2 linked regions of the Drosophila melanogaster genome follow. The protein of the gene in region 1 interacts with the protein of each later gene in a pairwise test. Each region holds a gene or a part of one and is shown on either strand. Other genes may lie near its edges. The genes, in order: Golgin245 and Rab30.

Region 1 (7,995 bases):
CCGCCTGAGCGTTCTCCCGATCCTGCGCCGTGGGAAATCCGAACTCCAGCTGGCCCCACTGCGTCAGCGTTTCTACAGTGCGCACGGGACGCGGTCCATTGACACCGACGCCATAGCTCTGGGCTAGCGTCAGCGAAAAGGCGATCAGCAGTATCCGGAGGGGCATCATAACCATTCCGCAGCAGAGTCGGATGGTAAATGTTCTGTTCGAACTAAGGGCAGCTGCTTATCAAGCAAGTTGGTTCCTGAGGCGTTGATAAGTGGCAGAGAGGCAGGCAGGCTGGCTGGCGGAGATCGAAGAGTGTGGACCGCGGCCTGGCTTTGTCTACTTGTTGACGACCAATTAAGAGCAAGGGTCTGTTGATATTTGGCCAGATGCGGCCTAACAATGCGGAATAATTTAATACGGTGACCCCGATCTAACGACACTTTCTTCGACGTCTCACTTCGGTAGCCAACTATCAACTGAAAACAGGCTTTTTAGCTTGGTGGCTTGAAGACGAGCAGGCAGAACGGCAGACAATGATTCAGGTTCATTGGCGGCAGGTGGTTTTCCCCCGATCTTTTTCGCACTCTTTACAGACTTCCGTCGACTGTTTGTCGTGGTCATTCAGGCGATATCCGAACTTTTTGTCTGCCCGTGTGACGGGTTCGGTCTGAAAATTGTTAACCAAATATTGTCTCTTGTAGTAAAGCCTCTTATATGGCTGGCAGCTAATGATGACAGTCGATCAATATTGATGGCAAGCTTCAGGGGTGGGCGGGCTTAGCTAACCAGCAATTAGCTTTTTACGACTTGCTAGCACTAATTGTATTTCGCACCGGCTAATCGAGAGAATCCATCATTGTTCGTTTCGTTGCAGCAAAGGGAGCAGCTGGATCGCCTTAAGAACGACCAGATCCACCAGGCTGAGTTCCACCACCAGCAGATCAAGGAGCACGAGGAGGCCATCCAGCGCCACAAGGAGTTCCTCGAGAACCTGCACAAGTGAGCGGTGATCCATCCACCGGCAGAAGGCGACCGCACGGACGGATGAACTCGAGACATTTACTAAAATGCATTTCACTCTCTTTTGTATGTTCCCAAGTGCTCACTACCACTTACCAGTAACCCAAAAATTATATATGTATTTGAAAAGTGCGTAATAAACCATCCATATTTTGAATGCTTTAACTAGAAGCTCATCTTTAGCTCGTGCTGGAACAGGTTACTAAAGTTTATGGCCGCTTCGTTACAGAACCAAAGCAATAAAGTTCGTTGATGTGTTTCTTTATAAGTTATTTTTCAATTCCTCTTCGTTAATAACTAAGGCCTTATCGCCTGCCGTTATAATCGACTAAAAATCAATTAACTTAAAAAGAATAACAACTTGTAAAAAATAGAATTTATGAAAAGAGTGTATATTTCACGTACAAGAAAACACAGTTATACGAACTATTGCGCGGTTTTTATAAATAAAGAAGTGCAATTTAAACGTATGCTGCATTATCTTCGAATAAAAACAAACTGTAGGGTGCTTAACTAAGCGTTTTTGCCCACAACATGAGGATTCCTCAAACACGAGCGGCTACTTAAAATGCTAAATCATTGCATAATTAGCAAGTTTGACCAGCTTTCATTCAGTTTTAGCGTGTAAACAGTTCATTATAGTAGTATTGTTAGAAAAAATTGAATACATCATACCTAGGAACTTTCTATATATCTATATTTAAAGAATTGAAAGGGCGTTCAACAGGCTTCCAAATATTTTTAAAGATAACCTGCGCCACCTGTGGAAAATATCTTGAACCAAGATGGTATTAAAAAACATGGAGGTAGGTATTATCAATTATAACTAATTAAATTGTTACTTTTGTGTGTATTAAATAAAAATTACATTGTACGTAACATTTATTTATGTTTATTAAAATTTTTCGTCACGTTCATAAACTTAATGACCCGCAGTTGCGTTCGTCCCTAATGAATACTGCGCTTGTTATCGATAACTCCCGAGGCTATCGGCAGTGTGACCGTTGAATGAACATCTGCAGACACGTATTTATTTAGATGTTTTTTAATTACAAATTGAATAGTGCTTAAACCAGGTAGCGCAACCAGTTGAAAAAGAGCGCAGCAGGCACTCGAAATGTTCGCCAACCTGAAGAACAAGCTGATCGAGGAGGTGAAGGCGTCGCCCTCGAAGTTCCAGCAATTTGCGAATGCTGCACAGGTATTTTTGTGTGCGGGGGCGGGGCGGTGCTTATTGCCGATGAAAAATGCAAATTGAGGAAAACATACGCACACAGACACGGAATTGCATGTGTGTCGGTGAACTGGGAAGGGGTCGCCTTCGATTGTGCGATTGTGACCCATTTCTGGGTGCACAAGTGAAAAGTGAAGTGACCAGCTGCTCATGAGTCTTCCTTGGACTTTTTTCCCAGGCCGCCGTGAGCTCATCGTCGAGCACAACACCCAATTCGGAAACGAACACCAGCAACAATGAGAACTTCTTCAGCATCACGGAGGAGGGTGAGTACGCCATGAGTCACCTGGGGTTCCTTATCTCACATATCAATCCATCTTTCACCGCGCAGACACACCTCAGAACTCGCCTTATCGCATCCAAAAGCTGCCGGCCACAAGTGCATCCGCTCTGCGCGGACGATCGACGCAATCCCTGAACGGCGCCACCTCCAGGACCCGCAAGCTCTCCAACTCGTCCATGGCCAGCGACGTGTCTTTCCGCCTGCCTACATATGAAGCGCCAGCTGTAAGTGGCCGAAAAGTCTCCGAGATTGCTTTAATTATGTGTTCTACTTTCCAGGTGTACCACTTGCAATCTGATCTGGACGAAACGAGCAGCGAGTTCGACGACTCCGCCTCAACGGCTCGTCTGGATGTGATCACCAAGGACCAGCTGTACGATGCGTACAAGAAGTCACTTGATCGTTACCACAAGTACCGCTGTCGGTACACGGATCTGGCCAAAAAGTACAAGGAACTGGAACGCGACAGCTCCAAGGCGCGGGTATCTATCTATCTGCCTATCTAATCGGTCTGCTTGATAAGCTTGTGTAACGAACATTTCCGATAATATCGCTTTGCAGTCTGTGCTGGTGGAGACGCAAGACAAGGCGCTGCGCCGAATCAGCGAGCTGAGGGAGCAGTGCACGCTGGAGCAGCAGGCCAAGGCGCATTTGGAGGAGGCTCTGCGCGTTGAGATGGACGACATGAGCTGCAAAATGCAGGCTTATCAGACGAAGCTCCAGCTGCTGGGCGAAAATCCTGAGAATATTACGGCGGCTCTGGAGAGAAGCGGCCAACAGCTGGAGTCCGAACAGCTAATCGACCTGGAGGAGTCGATCGGAAAGTCGCCCCTGTCCACCAATGGCAGTTCCGGTGTGTCCGACTTACAGAGATTACTTAAAGAGCGGGACGAGCAGCTGAAAAGTGTGACCGAAAAATACGAAGCTGTGCGCAAGCAGGAGGAGGAGAACGTGCTTCTTCTGGCCCAGACAAAGCAGGCCATCCATACGGAATTGGAGCTAAAGGACACCGAGGTGCGTAAGCTTCAGGAGAAACTCAAGCAATTGGAATCTCAGCGAGAGTCCCACAACAACGAAGTCAAGGAGCAGTTCAAAAAGCTTCAGGCCACGAAGCAGGAAGTCGATGCCAAACTTATGGCTACAGAGCACCTGCTGAACACCCTAAAAGAAAGCTATGCGATCAAGGAGCAACAGGTGGTCACACTCGAAGCGCAACTGGAAGCCATAAGGGTGGAAAACGAACAGAAAGTAAAAGATCTGCAGAAACAGAACGAAGATCGAAATACCCAAGCAAGCGATTCAAGCGAGCAACTAAAGAAACTTCAAGCAGCCGTTCAGGATGCGGAGTCCCAGCTTTTGTCCAAGGATCAGCTCTTGGAATCTCTCCGAAGCGAACAAGCAGCCAAGGAGCAGCAGCTAAAGCATCTGAAGGAGCAGTTGGGTAAACTGAAACAAGAAAACGAAAATTACTTAGATAAATTGCGAGAAAACAAGAAAAGTAGCGATTCTCAAACTAACGAAGCACAGGATCAGCAAAAGAAACTGCAAGCAGCCAAGGACGAAGCCGAATCGAAGCTCTTAGCCACGGAAGAACTTTTGCACTCCCTCAGGAATGATTATAAAGCACAGGAAGAGAAAGTCGCTTTGTTGGAAGACAAACTGAAAACTCTTTCCAAGGAAAACGATGTGAATGTAGAAAAATTGCACCACATTAATGAACAACGAGAAGCTCAAAGTACTGATTCCCAGCAGAAGATCAATGAACTACGTGCAGCTAAGGACGAAGCCGAAGCCAAACTTCTTTCCACTGAACACAGTTTGAACGCACTTCAGGCCGCACTCTCGGCCAAGGAAGAGCAAGCGGCATCCTTGGAGCAAAGCTTGAATGCGCTTAAAACCGAAAGTGAGCACAGTTTGCAGGACCTGCGCTTGCACAATGATCAGTTGCTCGAAATTGTCCAGCGTCATCAACAAAACGACTGGGAAGCTCAGCTCGCTCGGGCAAGAGAGGAATTGGCAGCCATTCAATCGCAACGGGAGCTCCATGCTCTCGAACTCGAGAAGAGCCTGGAAATGGAGCGCGAATCTGTGGCCGCTTTGAATTCCGAGAAAGCCTCCCAGGAGGAACAGCATAGGCTTAAGCTGGAACAGCTACAGCGAGAGATTCAAATACTACAAGATCAGCACGCGAACTCGGAGAGCGAAACAGTGGCTGCACTAAAAGGGCAGTTGGAGGCTCTTAGTCAGGACTTGGCCACCAGTCAGGCCAGTTTGTTGGCCAAGGAAAAGGAACTGAAAGCCAGCGGCAACAAGTTGAACAAGATAAAGAAGCAACACGAGCAGCACCAGGCGAAATCAAGCGATCAAAGCGCTCGCCTCGAAGCTCTGCAAAGTGAGTTGGCAGATCGACTGAGTCACTCTCGCCAGGTGGAGAGCGAAAAGGAGGAGCTGCAGGCACGCGTCACTGGAATTCTGGAGGAGATTGGCACCATGCAGGCGCAAATGCAACAGGTGCAAGACTCACACAGCGAGCTGGAACGGGAGAAGCGCAAGCTGGAATCCCGCATCGAGTCACTGCAGCAGGAGCAAGTGGACAGCAGTGCCCAGGACGAGAGGACCTCAGCTAAGCTGGAGGAGATCCAGAGCGAAAACACCAAGCTGGCCGAACGCAACTGTCTGCTGGAGGAGCAGACGAATCATTTGGAGTCCCAACTGCAAGCCAAACAAGACGAGATCGGCAAGATCCAGGCGAAGCTGCAACAGGTGCTCGACGAGCACTCGAAGCTGCAAAATGCCCAGGAGCTGATGGATCACGACCATCGGACGCTGCAGGATAAATGCGATGCCTACGAAAAGGATAAGCTGCTGACCAAACACACTCTGGACTGCCTGCAGTCGGCCAGTGAGGAGCTGCATAGGGTTAAGGCTAACTTAGATCGAGAACTGAAGGAGCAGGACCAACAACTGTCGGAGCTGAGAGAGCGACAAAGAGAACAGGAGCAGCAGCTGAAAGACCAAGCCGAACGATGCGCGAAATTGAAGGCCCAAAACAGCGAAAGTGAGACCCAACTGCAGGCCACGATCAGCAATCTTCGCGAGCAACTTGATGCTTATAAGCAGACAGAGCAGGGCATTCAGGAGAAACTGCAGGCTACCAATTCGTCCTACACCACGCAAATTGCCACATTGGAAGCTCGCTGGAGCGCCGCCAACTCAGACGTAGAGCGTCTTCACGAAGCCAATGATGCCCTGCAGCTGGAGATGGAACAGTTGAAGATTAAGCACGGCCAGGAACGCGAGGAGGTGAAGGAGTCAATTGCCCAGAAAAACCGTCAGGTGGTGGAGCTCCAAGAAGCCATGGCCACAAGGGATCGTCAGCTACAAGAAAAGATTGAAGCCTCCGAAAAATTGGCCAAATTCGATGAGATCCTGATCGAGAACGAGTATTTGAATAAGCACACGAAGCAATTGGAGGCCGAGTTGGCTGAGAGTGCGGAGCTGAAGGAGAAACTGAAATCCCTGCAATGTGAATTGTACGTTCTTCAGGAGAAGGCCGAGCAGCATGCCGTCCAAATGGCCGAAAAGGAAACGCAGAGTGCGACAGCAACGGCAGAGGTGTCCGAACTGAAGAAGGCCATCGAGGAACAGGCGGTGGAGCTGACCCGCCAGAAGGAGCACGCCAGCTTTGTCACCGAGCAGAGTGATGCGGTCCAAAAAGACCTTCTTCAAGCGCAGCAGCAACTCCACGATAAGCAAATCGAATTGGCAATGAGTCGGGATGAGCAGGCCTTGCTGCAGGCTGAAGCTGATGGCTTAAGGCAGGAGGTGATTTGCCTTAAGGAGCATTTATCCCCCTCAACCGACTCCGACAGCCTGCGCAGCCTGAACGAGCGACTGCAACGGGAGCTGGAGGATCTCAAGCACAAGAGCGCCGGTGCGGAGTCCAATATGCAGCAGGAGATCGAGGAGCTGCAGGCTAACAACCAGCAGATGGCGGAGCGCATCAACGAGCTGGAAACCCTGCGAGCCGGCATACAAGCCCAGCAACTCCTCGCCAGCATGGCGCCCAAAAACGTTCAGGAGGCAGCCGCTGCCGGCGAGAAGGCTGAACTGGAGTCTAAGCTCAAAGAGATTATGAACGAGGTGCAGGACGTGACGAATCGAAACCTGTTCCTGGAGCAAAAATGCGAGAACTTCCTCATACTCGAACAGTCCAACGAGCGACTTAAGCTGCAGAATGCGAAACTCTCGCGGCAACTGGATGAAACCCTGGTGAGTCCATAGCAGCGGTGCACCCACCCTTTGATTCCATTGCTGATTCCTTTCTCTTGCCGACAGGTATCCATGCAACACAGCGAGGCTGTTCCGGCCAACACGGAATTCGAGTACTTGCGCAACATCATGTTCCAGGTGGGGAATCAAACTAGATAATGTCCAAATATATACTCCCAACTAACTGATATATTCCATTTCAGTACCTAACTGGGAACACGAACAACGAGACGCTTGTCAAGGTGATATCGGCAGTGCTCAAATTTTCGCCGCAGCAGGCCCAAGTTGCACTGGAAAAGGAGCATCAGCGGCGATCGCTGGTAGGGAAGCCCATTTGAGTTCCATATTGCATCGTTAACTAACCCAATACAAACACTTGCAGCTGAACAAACTGATCTAGCATGAACTGATGGCTCTCTACGGCGGAGATTGGAACTGGGAGCCCTGCCCGGTGGCGCTTCTAGACCGCAAATGATGTCGGAGATCACAAGTACCTTATACTTATACCTCACCCTCGCGCACGGCATGGGTGCTTCCGGCTGACTCTGCAGGCATTTCGAGTAGTAGAAGCCGCTGATGTATGTGTATGCCGCATCCTAGATCCATGTTATTGTACAGTCCACGAATTAAGTATAGCTACTTCTGTCCAAATCCACGCTAAGCACTTTTGTACATTTTGATTACGCTTTCCTTTGTTTCATTCACTTGCTTGCGCTCCATGTCCCATGTCCACGACTTACCTTAACCCCAGCCTAACCTAAGTGCAATCGTTTTGTGTATTTTAGTTGTAAGTTTAAATTTGTAAAGATCCGCAGCGCAGTTGGCATTTAGTTTAATTCAAAATCTATACAATAACATACATAAATAAATAGTTACAATTCATAAAAGGGAATCTCAAATCTCTGTACGCCGCCCAGTGGCCGCCACGTGACGGAAGTGCCTCCTCCGTTTCGCAAAGCATCGAATCATGGCCCGCGTTAACGGGTCGAGCTCGTAGTTGGGCCTGTAGTCCTTCAGGGCATCCAGAGTGTACTTGAATCCGAATCTCTGCAGACGTAGGCTGGCCTTGACGGCCGCCAGTTGAACTCCGGATCGTGGCACTGCCACGAGAAGGCGCTTCAGGAAGCCTACGAAGGCGGAGATATCAGTATCCAGGGGCAGTGGCTTCAGTACCAAAGAGATGCAGTGCAGCAGAAG
Region 2 (4,707 bases), on another chromosome or scaffold:
TAAAAAAAAAACGCAAACATAAACAAATCATATTTTATACAAAATGCCTAGATATGTTTTGGTTTTTTTTTTTTATTGTTTTGTAATTTTGTAATTGGTTTTTTTTCGCAGCTTCTGGCACATTCAAAACTTACCAAATGGTCTCCAGCTTTTTGTGTTTAGAATGACCAAAACAATCTCTAGCAACAATATTGAGCTTATTCGATTCTCTGCAAAGACATTTCACCCTTAAGAATTATTCTAGCATTTTTGTTTGGTTTTTTTTTTTTTTTTTTTTTTTGTATTTTTTAATGGTGATTGTGTGTGGGTAGTTGTCGGTAGTTCTTAGTGAGACAGCAGATAGGAAGAAATAGGAGCGTTGAACTCATGAGTTGTTGGTTTGGGGCGAAAGAATTCAATTCAATTAATTTCCAACTTTAGCTGGATGTCATAGACTACTACATTGACTAAAACCTTGGCGAGCTGTCGGACAATAATGCTGATTTTGGTTTTGGGTTAATTAATGATAATTTTATTAGATTTATTCCACAACACACCGAAAATTGCATTTGTAAATGCTACGGAAAAATGTGGTTTGCTAACCTACAAATTATTTTATAATATATTGAGATTTTTCAAGTATGATTTCATATGGCTGAGTTTTAACCTATTAATAAATATTATTACAGATGGTTTGCCCAGATAAGATAAGAGGAATACCAATTGCTACAAAATCCGTTTCAGTCAATAATACAGATTAAAGTCCAAGTTTAGTAAGAGATATAAAATATCACTAAAATACGTTGTTTTTTATAGTTTACAGAATCATGACTGTCTTGTTAGTAATTCAATCCTTTAAGTTTCCCTGATACTTGTTAAACGTTTTCAGTTGCTATTGCAGCCCTGCCAAATATTTTGCACCCCACTGTACACCCACTGCAGTACACGACTGTATCAAATGCCGCGTAGGAAAATAAACAACACAAACCCACACACAGACAGATTTTCCGTTGGCGAAACACTTTTCTGTATGAACGCAGTCTAGTGTGAAAAAAAAATATTACGAAAATCAGCACGCAGATTGGCGTTCCGGCTGCCGATTTTTTATTAAACAGCAAAATTAGGCTAAAAATCGATTTAAGACCACTTAGTATGCATCGACTGCACATGTGTGTGTGTGTGTGTGTGTGCCCGAGACGAAGACGACTTACATACAAACACAAAATGCACGTACGCCTGTGGGTGTCTATGTGGGAAAAGAAGTATACAAACATACATATGAAGTAACTGTTTTTCTATTTTTTTTCATTTTGTTTTTGCACAGCAAAATAATTGCCTTGGGTGGGCACAAAAGCCAGTGGGACTTAATTTAAACGATAGTTGGCTGTTATCCGGCCTTTGGGAACTTACGTTTTTCATGTACGGCGCCTCGAGCATCGCCTCCACATCAAAGTCCTCGGCCATATTCGAAAATTACTTCGCTGCAATTCGGGGTGCTCCGTGAAAAAAGTCCCCTGCTCGGTGTCTGGCACGTTTGGAGAAATCAAAATGTGGTGGGGACGCACAGCGGAATTCGTAGGACGACTTACGAACTTCTCTTTTGGCTTTTGCGATTTTTTAATTAGAATTTTTGCCAATTTTCAACCAGATTTTCTTCTCTAGCGTGGCTGCTTGTTTTCGGCTTCAGGGTTGTCACAGAACTTATCGATGATGAACAATCGATAACTAGTGACCGTACTTCAAAAAGTTTTTAAGTGCTTTGCAAAACGTCGATCTATCGATACCGAGAAAAACATCGTTAAGTATTGCTATGGGAATTGATGTCACATCTCTAATCAAATACCATCACGTCGAAATACAGTAAAATTCTGTTGGTAAACATAAGCAAAATTAAGGCTGGCAATTAATGCGGCAGCATGCAACCAGTTGATTACAAATTTGCAAGCATAGTCAACCTGGCCGAAAGCCTGCTGAATAGATTTGGGGCCGATTCGCATAGATAAGCGAGTAACAAGCATCTACAGCTGCTGTTGAGTCATCATCTTTTAGCCAAATAAGCCAAAAAACAAGGCGAACAGCCGTTGGCCAGCTAGTGATAGAGCCCCAGGTGAGCCACAGGTGAGAGGCGTTGTCTTCGCTGGGGATGGCGTAAGCTGATCCAACGAACCACCACCAGCCAGCAAAGTATAATCGTTACGCGTCGCTGACTAGGTGTGTCTAAGCTCCGACTAACTTTCGTCTACTTTCGCAGAGCACACACACACTTGCCCACACCCAGCGACTCAAAAACCCCAAAACCAACCCATTTTTGGCAACATCCCCAATGGAGGACTACAAGTTCCTGTTCAAAATCGTCCTGGTGGGCAATGCTGGTGTTGGAAAAACATGCCTAGTGCGCCGCTTTACTCAGGGTCTATTTCCACCTGGCCAGGGTGCCACCATTGGTGTGGATTTCATGATTAAGACCGTGGAGGTGGAGGGCGAGAAGATCAAGCTACAAATCTGGGACACCGCCGGCCAGGAGCGGTTCCGATCCATCACGCAAAGCTACTATCGATCGGCTCACGCCTTGATCCTGGTGTACGACATCAGCTGCCAGCCCACATTTGACTGCCTGCCGGACTGGCTGCGCGAGATCCAGGAGTATGCCAACTCCAAGGTACTCAAAATCCTGGTGGGTAACAAGACGGACAGGGATGATCGAGAGATACCCACCCAGATTGGCGAAGAGTTCGCCAAGCAGCATGACATGTACTTCTTGGAGACATCCGCCAAGGAGGCAGAGAATGTAGAGCGTCTGTTCTACGAGATTGCCGCCGAATTGATTGGTCAGGCAAGGAGCAAGGATGGCAGTAGTTCGGCCGCAGCGGCAGCCGCCCAGCGTCAGTCGGAGGGCAGCTCCATCGGACTGGGGAGCTTCAGTGCCAAGGCAGCGCAGAGCAATTGCTGTGGCGGACTCGCCAGCGGCGGCTCCAACTCTAGTCAAGGCGGCTGAGCAGCTGCAAACTGAACTGGAAGCTGAGCAGCTAATCTGTAACTTGTTAAGGACTAATCGTGATATTCCATTTATCTTTTATTACCACAATGCTCCCACATTCTAACACATACATACATATGTTAAATTTTGTTTTTATAAGCATGATTATGACGTGATCGTTTGCCTTTGTCTTTGTAACGATTCCTATTAGATTGTTAAAACACATCGGCTTCAAATACCTTTAAATGTAAAGGTATTTAGAGCAATTCTCTTCGCTTTCACTAAACTACGATAACAACAAACATTTAAAGTACAATGTGCAAACGGATCTGGAAACTGTGCAGCTAATCTGTTATCTGTTATCGTGATATTCTGTTCATGCTTAAGGGTTTATTATTTTAATTACAAGACTAAAAAAATTGATTATTTCTGTATCCCCTTTGGTTTACAGAAAGAAATTGATTGTAAAAACTAATTTACTATTTATCACGATTAAGATCCTATGGGAAACTAGCTGTCAATGACTAAGGATGCTAAATATTTGTGTTACAAGAACTCCATTGGAGGTGTTTAAGACCGCCTGATTTTCTTGATTTGTATTATATAGACGTATGTATTGATCTGATTATGGATCGTTTACCAAGTGAGCATCACAGCCAATGCTACGAAGAATTTATGATATCAAAAATGCTAGACTCACCATTTAGTTTATTTCAATTAATTCCCAAGGAGTATTGCATGTTTTATACATTACATTTTTTGTATACATACACAATTTATGCATATTTATTTGCAATTATTTTTACATATTTTTACGATTAATGTGCAATCTTTGGTAATGCAATTTTTAAATGATATTCGTAATAGTGTTTAAGGTGATTTTATGACATTCCAAAAATTAAGAATTAGAAACTATGAATAGACCAGAAAGCTGAATAAAAAATAAACTAAATACAAGTAAAATGGAAAAGAGTGTTTAATTAATTTACAGCTGATTAATTTACAGCTGAGTAAAATATAAAATATGTTGATTAAGTATATCAACTTTTTACGAATGCGGAAAAAGTTGTTGATTAAAAAAGCTGCAATATATATCTTGTTATTATATAAATATCACAATAATTGGAATGTAAACTTTTAGCCGATAAATAATTACAAATGTTTTTAAAACAGTATTTTGTACAATAATGCATATAAAAAAAAAAAATCCCATCGATTTCAGGATCTAACTAACCACCTTAATAATTTCGTGCAAAAATCGTTCCACTCCGATTCTGAGTTCAAATAGCTCTTCCACCTTAAGTTATAGGTACTGCAAATATTATTAAGTGCTTTAGCCCACAGAATGTTTTTCTTCATTACTTTAAGAGTTAAAAATCGGCCGATCGAATTTTCATTGTGGGAAAATAAAGTTTTTTAATATACTGCAAATGCATCTCTTATCAGATTATTAGGGTTGGGACACTCGAAACAAGTGGTTTTTTTTTTTTAAATAAAACGCTTGCAGAGCTTTGAATTGCATTACTTTTTCGTATCCCCACATTTGCAGCAAGTATAGATTCATCAATCTTCTCTAATCATCCAATTTTTCCAATCTATTATGTGGAGTATCTCTGGAGTGTTGAGTGTAGTTGTGAGCAAAAAATCGAGAAATTCTGCAGTGCTTGTGGTTTTGATCTCCTTTCCCGTTATAAACCATTTCTCAGTCAATGCAAGCCGTCCACCTCTCCTGAAGACCATTATACACGACC

What was found.
Region 2: the proteins of Golgin245 (region 1) and Rab30 interact in a two-hybrid assay, tested with the Drosophila melanogaster proteins (one study listed by BioGRID).

The regions. Positions count from the first base shown.
Region 1 is NT_033778.4:23,371,046-23,379,040, reverse strand, and holds Golgin245 (Golgin-245), read left to right. Parts: upstream 1-1,995; 5' UTR 1,996-2,126; coding exon 2,127-2,210; intron 2,211-2,421; coding exon 2,422-2,509; intron 2,510-2,574; coding exon 2,575-2,750; intron 2,751-2,804; coding exon 2,805-3,008; intron 3,009-3,087; coding exon 3,088-6,798; intron 6,799-6,864; coding exon 6,865-6,936; intron 6,937-7,001; coding exon 7,002-7,118; intron 7,119-7,180; coding exon 7,181-7,198; 3' UTR 7,199-7,681; downstream 7,682-7,995. Other genes in the region: yellow-d, read right to left, coding at 1-175; CG13551 (uncharacterized protein), read left to right, coding at 864-992; Ice1 (uncharacterized protein), read right to left, coding at 7,693-7,995.
Region 2 is NT_033779.5:7,029,701-7,034,407, reverse strand, and holds Rab30 (Rab30), read left to right. Parts: upstream 1-1,801; 5' UTR 1,802-2,171; intron 2,172-2,230; 5' UTR 2,231-2,302; coding exon 2,303-2,974; 3' UTR 2,975-3,915; downstream 3,916-4,707. Other genes in the region: caper, read right to left, coding at 1,390-1,443.